Linked DNA regions of Drosophila melanogaster. The protein of the gene in region 1 purifies or fractionates together with the protein of each later gene. This does not show direct contact. Each region holds a gene or a part of one and is shown on either strand. Other genes may lie near its edges. The genes, in order: Reph and wap.

Region 1 (5,661 bases):
TTCGTTTACTTTTGCTTTGCTATGGTTGCACACGTTACTGGTTTTTTTTTTAGTTCTTAGTTTTTGCATTTCATTTGGTTTTCCTTGAATTGAATATGGGTTTAACTTGCTGTGATCTCTTTTGTTTCTTTCGTTAGATTCTTCATATACGCGACAAAGAAGGGTAGTAATTATGCTTTACTAATACACATATGAGCTTGCAAACATTTGCCAATTGTTTAGTTGTTGCGCTTACTAGTTGTCCACCAAGCAATCATCAATCATATTGTTTAAACTAAAGAGCTTTAATCGTATGCATGAGTGTTGATGGCAGCTTTTTGGTTTAAATCGTTTCTCTTAGATGTGGATAAATTGAATATTGTGTATAAAATAGCTTGCTATTTTATGTTGTACATTAAACACATAATTTTACTGCTTTTCAACTGTCGCTGCGACAGTTTCGTTTTCCGGCTCCCCCCCACGTTGATCATACAAAAGGTTCTGTTTGTCTGTTTATATCATATTATTTCAGTTGCTATTGTTGCTTCACATTGTTGCTGTTGCTATTTCATCGTCCATACCTTTCAAATTTCCCGCTTTCCCGCTAGCCGCTTCCGCTTTTCTCAGCTTTCCTTCGTTTTATAGAAATATAATTTGTCTCTGTTTTTTTTTTTTCAAGTTTGAGTCTTCTGCCACATCAGCACAAACGTTTTTCGTCGGCTTTTAAAAAAATTTAAATACATTCTATCGTTCTACATCCCCATATCGCATTTTCTGCTATCGATGGCATGCCAATTCTTCAAAAGATTTTTTTTTTTTTTTTGGTTTTTCCCACACAAATACAATATTTACAGTTCACAGTTTCCACTGGCTGGATTTTTATCATCTAATTCATTACACCCAGAGCTTTTCCTTGAACATATTTTTAATCAATTCTTGTGATCCTTTCTATCATACGGCTGGCATATGATTTTCCGTCTCTAAACCCTCAATTTTGACTCAACTTTCGATCTTTTACATCCCGGAGCTTCTACAAATCTATTGTTTGTCCTCCTCAACTTTCGATCCGTGTTCGCATTACAGTTTTTGTTACAGTTTTTCAGTTTAAAATTGTGAAAAAATAGCTGCATCTATTGTAAATTTTAGGTTTGTCTCTTTTTTGTGTTTTTTGGTTTGCGTTAAAATTTGAATTACCTTTAGATTTATATAATTTGATTTGATGATATTTCCCGCTGCTGTTTGCGCTTGAATCTGAATCCTGAAACTGCTCGCTTGCATAATCTAGGGGTTTTACTAGCTGCCCCTAGACACTCTGGTTATCCTCCGAATGCTGTTTCAGTTTCAGCGTCCTGCTGTGGTTGTTGGTTCGTATAAAAAGTCTTTGATTTGCCCCCCGTTCCGTTGACCATCCTGCTCCCCGTCCCAATCCGACGACGATCCTTTTCCGGCTGCTGCTCTGGTGTTAGCGTGCTCTGCATTAGAGACTAACCTGCTGCATCTTATCAAAATCTAAACACGGCCGATGCGGTCGCTGCAGTCTCTGGGTGGCGACGGCGGTGACGTTAGCGGCATTTCCGGCGGAATTGGCAGCATTGTGTGTCGTTGTTGTGCCTGATGATGATGATGCTGACGATGGTGATATTGTTGTGGCGCCCCCGGCTGCACCACTGGCATTGTTACTGGGTCGCCGCCTGGGCGATATGGCGCAGTGGAACAGTTTCGCCGGCGGACTGACCGAACGCACCTCCATATCCAGGCCAGTGGTGCTGGCCGGACTGCTCCGCGAGCTGTTGTAGTGGAAACTATATTTCGGCTGCGGCTGGTAAATGTGGTGGCTGCTGTTGCTCATCTTTAGCGAGCTGCTGCACGCCTTGATCACACTCGGCTCATTCTCGTTGCCGCCGTTTCCGTTTCCGGTTGCGGCCACAGTTCCGCTGGCATTCCCTGCCAGTGCGCCAATCTTGGCGCACTTACTGCTATTGGCCGCGCCACCGCCACCGCCGTTGTCACCATTCTCCTCGTTTACACTATTATCACATAATTTAATATTTTCGATGCCACATCGGGCCTCCGATAATATCAGTGGCGTTGTGGAGCGGAACATCATATGGCTACGATTTGGCTTGAATGCCTCCAATGGCGGCGATGTGCGAAAATTCACGGGCGTCAATATCGGCTCCAGCGAGTTGCGCAACTGTTTCGGATTGCAATCATAGATTGGATTAAATGATTTTGATACTGTTTGACCGGAACCCACCTCATCGTCGGAGCTGTGGGCCAGCGATCGCTTGCGGTTCTCCACCATCAGCGTGGAGCTAGAACGCTTCGAGTTGGAGGTGGTGGCCCGCTCCTCGTAGGGCGCCTCCGTGTCCAGCGAGGAGGTGCATCCGCGATTCGAGATCCGGGAGGCACACGATGAGCCCGTGGCCGCCGTTCCGGGATGCTGACCCGCCTGCGAGGACGGCCCGTTGATCACCTCCAACTCCTCCTCGGAACTGTGCTGGTCGTACATGAGATGGGCGCAGGATGACGACGTCTGCTGGTGACACATCATTGCAGAAGCTATTGGTTTTTGGCCAGCAACACCTGGCAGGATAACAAACCCAAAAAGTTAGGATATCCGATGTAGTATGTAGTTTTTAAAAGTATCTTGATCACTTACTAGTTTCCATATCCACGTCTAAGTGACGTTGGTTTTCCACATCGAGGAGTTCACCATCAGATTCGGTGCCAGAGTCATTCGATTCACGCTGCGGAAGAATAAATTAATTTTATTAATAAACTAATAATTAATTAATAAATCGCACTTTATACAACAAAAAACAAACTATTCTTAGTGTATCTAAACTATGTTAAAATAAAGTCCTTAAAACTATATGTTCATTTAGAAATCGCACCTTTTTACGCATAAAATTTTTCGATTCCCTCAGTGTATTTTCGCGATTTTTCTGTCTGACAAACTTTATCATGATTTTCTACTTTGGCTGTTATTCACTTCGCATGCCACACGCACACAATGACAACGATGCACCCACGCAGCGCACACACACAGTGCAGAAAACTTACTACGACGCCGCAGTCGCAGTCGGCGCCGCAGTCGACGTCGAATTCGCTATTCCTCTCCTTCTTCTGCTTTTCCTTGTGCCTGTGCTTCTCCTTCGCCTTCTGTTCGCGCTACTATTACTACATACTACCGACTTTTGTGCCGTTGCGCTTTACACGCCGTTTCTATTTATACGCCTCCGCATGTATTTTTGTTTGTTATTTTTACGCGCTGCTTCGTCGTGCATCCCTTTTGTGCAAAAATTTCAATCACGTTTACGTTCTCTCGCACTCTCTTCGGTTGTAAATGCGTAGTCAACGAGTAACGGTAGCGGCGAGAGAGTTAGAGTTCCTGCCCTCTCTCTTCGGTTTCCTTGTTTTAAAGAAGTTGTTTTCCGAGTTTTATAGCATATTTTCCAAATATTCCGATATCTGGACTGATCACAAGCTATTATATTTTTCATGAAAACTCCGTTTCGATCTTTGAATTTGCAACTTCGAGTGTTTTATTGTGATTTTTTGCAAATCTCTTGCTCCACACACTCTCTTTCGCGCACACTTGGCTGTGGTCCTCAAATCACCCGAACCGAACTCAAATCCCGAACGGAATATCCGCGCACCTTTCGCCGTAACTTATACAGCACGGAATTATCGATTTTTTTGGCACGGCTACGGGAAAGGCAACCAGACGACGCGAAATCCGCAAAAAAAAATAATAAACAGGCACACCGCACCTCCAAAGGGTTAAGCTTTGCTGCTTGATGTCTTTTAACCCATCGAAATTGGTTTTCAAACACTGCGCGGCATTAGCTTAAGTTCTGCTCTTCGGCGTTTTTCGAATTTCCTAGCGAAATGCAGTTGTGCAACTGTTTTGGATCCGCCTACGCCTGCTGACTTTGCTGGTTACTACGGTGTTACTGTGTGTATCGGGTATATATCGGGTATATTCGCTACAGCCCACCGCCCGTCACCGGCTAACGTTGCGCTCCAACTGAAAAGCCATTGCGACCACAATGTGGCAATGTGTCTCCAAGTCTCTGAAAATCAAAATCTCTGCGCTGGCGCTGGAGACCCGCATTCCCCTTGCCATAAGCCAATTCTCCACTGCGTGCAACCCACGATTCTCTTGCAATTTCAGGGTTACCAGACGCACGCTGGAAAATCCAATAGAATTGACTTCAGTAGCATAATTAAATTAAATTAAATTTTATTTTATTTTGGAACCTCAAATCTTTTTTATACCAAAAATAGTGAGAATAATATAAATTGGTTGTTAAAATAATTAAATGTCATAACGTATATTTGATACATTTTAAGGGAATTAATAAAAGATTAGAGAATGTTTCTCCGGCCCCAGAACTCTTCAATCAGTGATTTAAATTTCTAACATAGAACAACTACATATTTAAATAAACTTTAACCTGCATTCGACCCCCTATCTTATTTCACAACAATGTAAGACTTGTTTAATTGCAAAAGTTGCGCACTATAATTGATTGTGGATAATCGGCGTGTAGTAATTAACTGCGCGAAATTAACATTCCCTGCAAATTTCTTTCGGGTGATTTTCTTTTGTGTGCACCTTGTTTTCCCATTCATTGAATTCCTCGCCCGTTCCCACCCAACAATTGCTCAAATAGCGCTTGCAATAGCGCTGGCAACCCTGGCCGCACTCACAAAGTGCACTTACTACACTTTGGATGTGGATGCGATGATGCCCGTGTGGGCGCTCATGGAAAATGGAGGGGGCAGGGGGGCTGACGTATCGCTGCGTGCTTTTGTACATGCGCGCTCAACTCGTGCCTCCAACATCGGTGGACAGATGCCGAACGAAAGTATAAGTTTAAGTAGCATTAAGTCATTATGACTTTTTTTTTTGCACACCTTTGTTAGGTTTGGTTTATACATAATGCAGACAGAAGATCAAGATCAGCTGACAACGGAACGTTTAAAAATGTAATCGGATTTTTCAGATAACATTCCATACAATTTAACATACAATTTTGTCGCGCACCTTGGTACTTATAGACGAAAGAAGAAGCAGCTGGAGCGGGCAAGTTCCTATTCCAATGACTATATGCCTATATATTCATGTCTATGAGTAGTAACGTGTGGCAGCAAAAAGAAGAGGCAAGTAAATGAAGAGAAGTAAACGAAGGGGAGGTGAAGAAATACGGCAAAAAAGTTGCAACGATGATATGGGAAATTGTTTGGAGCTCGCTTTTCGACACCGAATGTGGAAAACATGGGGAAAACATGACATGGAAAACTACGCACGAACTGGTTTTTCGGCTGCTCGAGGCAGTTTTCTCAATTTATTGTTTCTTACAAACGTCATGTAACTTTATTCCACATTTGTTTAATTTGTTTCAACTAATATATGATAAGTGTGGAAAGCCGAAAGCACAATAAATTATTAAATTATACCTGTTCAAAAAGGATACAAAATAAATACAAACATTTAGATTTTACGGTTAGATTTCTTACATTCGTTTCATGAGGAAAATGTGATTTTCGCCTTGTGCACACACATGTTTAATAAGCTATTATTCCTTCTAAGTTTTGCCACTATATTTGCAAACTCCCTCGTGAGCTTTTCAATTTGCTTTCAATTTTACGCGGAAAATTTTACTACGAGTC
Region 2 (6,586 bases), on another chromosome or scaffold:
CGCAACCTCTTCGCTCCTTGTGGCAGACCCTACAATCTGAACCAGGCCAAACTGCCCTTTAAGTTTCGGGATGAGGCCGACCATTACTTGCTCCAACTGGAGGTGTACAGGTAAGCTAGGCTAAGATGTCTTAACCAAACTTATACATATCTTACAAGTTATCACCAACATATTACATATGTATATCGATATTGGTATTGCTTGATCGTTTCTACGCCCCAATCATATACATACACTTCAAAATTCTTAATTAATATTGCATATGTATATTCCTTCGCCCAGACACCTGGATACCTCTCTAATTGACGTCGATGTGCAGACCACATACACTAGAGTCACCGTCAAAAAAAAGATCTTCCAGATCGCGTACAGCGAGGAGGTCAAGCCGGATGAGTCCACTGTGCAGCGTTCCCAGATTACAGGTCACCTTGTGGTCAATCTTAAGAAGCTAAAAGTTAACGAGCTGCTGATAGCCAAGAAAAGCCCGACTAAAAGGTAAGTTCATCCAGTTCATTGTATATCATGAACCACAAATCCTAGCTACCTTTTCATGTAGCCCTGCCGCCCCTTTTGATGCAGGAAAAAAAGATGGGAAACCGGAGGAAGCGTTTCACGGAGGAGTAGTGGACATCAGCAACATTTGTGCACCCGAAGATCTTCCCGATTTAATTTGAGACTGTGTTCATTATTTAAAAATGGTTTATTTAAATATTTGTCTGATTTGGTTTGTTTTCTCAAACTCCTCAGTGATCTTTTGTTTTGTTTGGTTTTTGTGATCCATCCATTCCATCGATCAATCATTAGCTTTCTAGTAAATACTTTAGCCCGATCGGATGCTCATATATATATGCGCTTGAGTGTGTGTGTGTGTGTGTGTGTGTGTTTGTGTACATATACATTTCATATATAAATGTAACGTAAGTCGGATAATGCAAAACAGGGCACACGAAAATAAAGATTAAATTAAAAATTATATTCTAACTTGGTTTTTTTTCGATTATTTTTTTTACGGAAACCGTGGTTTGCCAAATTAATGAAAATGTCTTCGCCTAGTGGCTACGAGCGTATAAAATATATCCAATTCCAAATTCCATAGACTTGATTTCAGTTTCTTACTCTTCTGCAGCAAACGAAAAAGTATTCGGATATGAGGATATAAATTCCCGTGAAGTGGCCTCTTAAATGGCTATACAAAATCAGGGCCTAAGTTGGTTTTCGTTTAAAATATGCCTTTCATGCTGTATTTACAATACACGATCATCGGGATTATTATTACTGCTATCGCTTTCTGTATACATATTTATATATAAGTTGTGAAATTGCTATAAATTACAAGATACATAAAAAAAATGTATTCGATTTTATCTGAAAAAGTCGCTTTGTCCTGTGGAAAGTATGGGATGTGGTTAAGATTTGAGATTATTGATGGAGGGTCGTGTCTTATCTGAAATGATCATAGTTTGTTTGCTTATTTTCGCTCGTTTGTTAAATGGATATAGCAACAATCTTGTATTCTCTCTCGCTCATATATTTCGGTATTTGTTTTATCTTTTAGTTTGTATCTTTAAATAGTATTGTATTCTAGCTGTGTTGTGTGCAGTTCGTCATCAGTTTCCTGGTTTGGTTTTTAATCTTTAATCTATGTAAGTATTTCGCTTATTTCTTTAATTCATTTCATATTATGTTTGTTTTGCAATTGCTTAAGTCCATGGTTTTGCTTTTGTTTTTCTTTATCTCTTGTTTTTGTCGTTTTTCCGTTTTTTGGATCTGTTACAAAAATCGAACAAAGTAAAAATATTTCGAAAAAGCGTTGTTGCCGGCTACTTTTTTACCTCTCATTTTTTGTTCTCTGTGTATTTTTGTGGTTGTTGCTGTTTTGACCAGACTCGAAAACTCGATTAACAGCATTCATGTTTGAAAAAACGAGGTAGGACATTGTGTTATAATAAATATGATTTCTTTTTCTTCTGCATTCCATTTGGGTTCGTATAAAAACGAAATAAAAAAGATTAAGCGGCTCTAATTGATTGGAGTTTTCGGGGGTGTGAGTGTCGGGATTTGTCAAGTGTGAAATAAACTACAATTATAAAACATATTTTGGTTATACCTTATATAATTACATACTTGTTAGATCAACTCAGCTAAGAATTCTAGAATAAGTGCTTCGTCCTCTTCTCTTTCCCTCAAACTCATATCTTTCTTTTAAGCCCTTTCTCTTTCCATTTCTCTGCCTCTATATCCGTCACTTTCACATTTTCTCTCTCTCGACAGACAGTAAAATTAAACAAACTGCGGACGCGTGTTGACAGAACTAATCCAACTTAAGCTCACTGCTTTCCGCTTCCAAGTTACCAACAGCAAATGTATGTTTATTTGTGGGTGTTGTGTGTTTTTCTGACTTGCTTCTTTGTTGACTGTGCGTTGTTCAGCAATTGCAGTCAGGTGCTTCAGCAAGGACCAGACCAAAAAAAATTACTTAGACCCGCAGGATCTCGCACGCTTTGTTATAGCAAATGGCTATCCAGTCGGGCTGTGTGGCACCCCACTGAATCTGATTGACTTCGCCCTCGGCAGCTGTATAGGCTAAAATTGGATCCTCGATTGCACGTGGCATTTGTTGTATATCCCAGATCAGTGCTTGGTGATCATCACCGGCAGTGCAGATGTGACAGGAACTGCAAACCAAAATACAAATTGTTTAGGCACATTTTAGGTTTAAGGAATCTTATAGTCTCACCTATGCGGCGCCCACGCAATACCGTTGACGCACGCTCTGTGATTGCTCAGTCTTGCAACGGGTGTACAAGGAACACGAACATCTAAAATTATTACTTCGCACGAGTCCATGGCAACGGTGGCTAAGTAGTTCGGGTCCTGTTTGTTCCAGGCCAAGCGCAGCAGCGCCGTATGAGCAGGATCCTATTGGATTTATCGTTATGTAGTCATCCGTTTTTGTGTTTTCGCGCGTTCTACTTACCTCATATATAATGGTCGAGTGCTCCAAGTGCCGCAGATCAAACATGCGCACCGACCCGTCCGCTCCCACCGAGGCAAACATGTCCCGACCGCCGCCGGCCCGCGAAAAAGCAATGTCGTATACTTCCTTGTCATGGGCAATCAATTGCGTCTTCACGTGTCCTGCCACATAGACGCGAGCGTGCGGCTGTCCGGTCTCCAGTCCCCAGATAGTGCAGGTTGTGTCTATCGATGAGGTTCCCACCAGATTGGGATCCACCTCGTTCCAATCAAACGAAGTGAGGGGAGCGCAAAAGTCGCTGTTCTTGTTGTTATTCAGTACGCACTCGAGCCGCGTGTCCGGTTCCCCGGCACGCCACACCCGCAAGTAGTCGCCACTGGTGGCCAACAGATCCGGATAGACACCCTTGGAGTCCGGGATCCACATGATCTTGGTTGTCGGATATGGATGATCAAAGGTGCTATTTGAAGAAGAAATAATCTGTCAGTGAGGAAGGGGATTTCGGAAAAATGGTTCGTATAACCAAATAACTATTCATATTTAAAATGATTACAATAATATCAAAACTGCTTATCATTTTATATTATTTTTTAAAGATAATATACGAAATATAAAATGAAAACAGAAAGTAGAAGGGATCAGCTAAACAAATATTCGGTATACCTCTTAGCACTAAATTCGCTGGTGTCCTCGTCCAGGCTGATGATCTGTACCTTGTTGTTGTACTCCTCGATGAAGCTGCCCAGTGCGAGCCGGAATCGCTTGTCCGGCCTTACACTCCAGTTCATGGAGTACAGTGGCCATGGCGCGAGATATTTGTAGATCTCCTTGCGCTTTCCGGCGGTCGAGGACATAACTGTAGATATGGAAAAGGATCAGCATGAGAATCTAGGACTCGTATTCGAATTCGGAGTCTGGATCAAGAACCCACCTGAACTGTGTGATTGGATACGGATATCCAGACCAAGACGAAGATCAAGACTTGGATGACAAGGTGCTGCTGAGTTTTCTCAATGCCGTTTAGCTGGTGGCCGGCCTAATGACGACGAGCTCCTTTGGTGATGATGACGACAATGATGATGATGGCTGATAATGACCACTCACAGCAGCGGACAACTCAAGAAAACTTCATGGAATGGGAAACAAAGGTCTTTGCTTGCCACTCGCATTTGCACACTTTACCGGCTTGCTTTTCCTTGGCTTTTCCTGTAGCTTTCCTCTTTTCCGAGATTCACATCATTTTGTGCACTGGCAGTATTGCCAGCTCGCCCGTTTTCCGACTAGAGTCCGTCCGTCCGTTTGCCGTCGTTATTCCGGCGAAATTTAGGTCTGGAGGACACCGATCGGAGAAGTCGAACTGTACTCAATCAACAGGGCGAAGGAATTAATTCAACGGCGTGCACATCGCGACCGCAACGCATCCGTTTGGCCAGCAAGTGGAATTGTGCCCGGCACTCCGTATAAGGTGGCAACACTAAAACGTAATGCGACGCGAAAATTCGTTTGTGGCGGTCCTTCGATGGGCAAGCTGCCCCGGTTTTACCTTATAATTTGGTTAAGTTTCCAATCCAACCACAGTTTTCTGAAACAGCACGGTCGGAATTACACGGAATTAGTATTCAAAGAACTTTTAATACATTCTTTTCGACAGAATTTTCACACAAAAACAGTGTGACCGCGCAGATAGCTATAAGAAATACCTTGTGCAAAATCATTGTTATATACCAGATAAACAAAATACTATTTATTTAAAACAAAATTCTGTATTAAATTATATTGAACTGTAATATATAATATTCTAGGCTTGACTTTAGTCTAATTAAGAATTGAAAGTTGTGTGTTTATTTCCACCCAGAAATCTTTTCCCTGGAACTGGAAATATAATTCGATTGGCGTTTTGTGCAAAAACTATTAAGTTTGAAGCATATTTTTCAAATCCCATATGATGGAATTCTGTGTAAATGGAACATTAAGAAGGCCTCTGCTCATCTGTTAGCAAGTACACCAACCATACATGCATCAGGCATAGTTCTTCGATAGTTATCGAAGAACAGTTAACCTATCTTCAAAATCTAGTGACGGTGACTTCGTTTCGGCGTGCGGCCACACTAGCAAAAAAAATAGGATTAAAAAGTGAGTTCTGTGTTGTGCAAAAAAAAATTGCTTTAATTCGACCGGAAAAAGGCCCTTTTGCGGTGCAAAACGATGATGTCGCTTGGCTGGCGTTAAAATTTGTGGGATATCATTAAGAGACGGGACTTTCGGCAGCGCGACCTCGTTCGCCTCGTGATGTTCGTTTTGCGGTCAAATTTTCACCTTCGCCACCCATCCCCTCGCCCATTTGTTTTCTATCTTAGTATGAATTTATACACTTTATATACGCATTTGCCTTTGTACATTTTTTGTGTTCCGTGGATGTATGAAAAATTCCTAATAGCCGTCGTCGTCACTTTTCCACTTTCCATTTTGAGAAAGATATTTCACTTTGCGTAATTCGTACGCTGCCTGGCGCCTGTGTGTGTGTGTGTGACCGTGTAGCCAATAGTGCTACATCGCTCGCGCGCACAATCTCGGCACTGTTTTACTACTACCCTGGCTCGCCCCCTCTCCCTCACACATTTCACTGCCAAACGTACGCGCGTGTGTGAGTGCACCTTTTAAAAATAGAATCTCATTTCGTTTCGTTTTATATATTGTTTTTGCTTTTATCACAATTATTTCGATTTTGACGTGCAAAGAATGTATGAGTTTTGTGTCTAAAGAAAGCGGCTAATCGTGGTAACCGTTGAAAAAGTTCAGCTACACCTGTGGGTACTCGCGTGCGATTGTGTGAGCTTGGATAATTCAATTTTTTTAAGTGAATGTGTGTGAATGGGCTGTAGTGTAGTTGTAGCATTTTATGAACGAAAGATCGATTCGTGAAAGTGTGGCCATCTTATGTTAGTTAAGGCCTACCACCCGCTTCTCCCATCCCCCTGCACTACACCACCCGCAGAGCCTTACACTTGTGCATGTATGTATGTAAAAGCAACGGTTTTCTCGAATGGGAGCGTAGACAGCCTGGCGGCACACACACGAACGTAACTTCATTTTAAGTGTTACCGCATAAGGACAGCCGTCCGCGTCCCACACCGCCCCTACCCAGTTCAGCCAGCCAGCGTCACACTGAAGTTGTTGTTATGGCAAACTTGAAAACGGCTTTTCTCTATTTATTACTATTTTGCGATTGTAAACAAGTGTCGATCGGTTTTCCACTCTCCGCCTAACTGTTCATCAGGGACAAATCGAAGGCCACAAATTCCCGAGATGTGCGTGGGTGTTTTTTGCGCTTGTGAAAAATCAATCGTGGGAAGGGGAAGAAAGACGAGGAGTTCCGCTTGAAGGGTTTCGCATTATCTTATGCAGAATTCAAGATAACCTTGCGCCTGCAAGCCTTCATTTCTCCAATAAGTGAATCAAATGTAAACGGACAAGGTCTTGACAATTTAGAATTGTTTGCACTACTAAAAGTACCGTCATAAAAATGTGGTTTTGATTAAAAGATGTTCCCTCATTAGATCATTTACACTGGGCATTTTCCAATCTTTTGGGTATATTTTTGATAAAGAA

What was found.
Region 2: the proteins of Reph (region 1) and wap purify together in Drosophila melanogaster (affinity purification with mass spectrometry, with the first as the bait; one large-scale study listed by BioGRID). This does not show direct contact.

Annotation. Positions count from the first base shown.
Region 1 is NT_033779.5:3,804,037-3,809,697, reverse strand, and holds Reph (regulator of eph expression), read right to left. Parts: upstream 4,017-5,661; 5' UTR 2,949-4,016; coding exon 2,877-2,948; intron 2,730-2,876; coding exon 2,642-2,729; intron 2,566-2,641; coding exon 2,237-2,565; intron 2,174-2,236; coding exon 1,457-2,173; 3' UTR 803-1,456; downstream 1-802.
Region 2 is NC_004354.4:22,450,754-22,457,339, forward strand, and holds wap (wings apart), read right to left. Parts: upstream 4,670-6,586; 5' UTR 4,521-4,669; exon of another isoform or gene 4,307-4,520; 5' UTR 3,909-4,306; intron 3,834-3,908; 5' UTR 3,832-3,833; coding exon 3,641-3,831; intron 3,438-3,640; coding exon 2,978-3,437; intron 2,920-2,977; coding exon 2,738-2,919; intron 2,676-2,737; coding exon 2,477-2,675; 3' UTR 692-2,476; downstream 1-691. Other genes in the region: tilB (touch insensitive larva B), read left to right, coding at 1-110, 283-495, 557-674.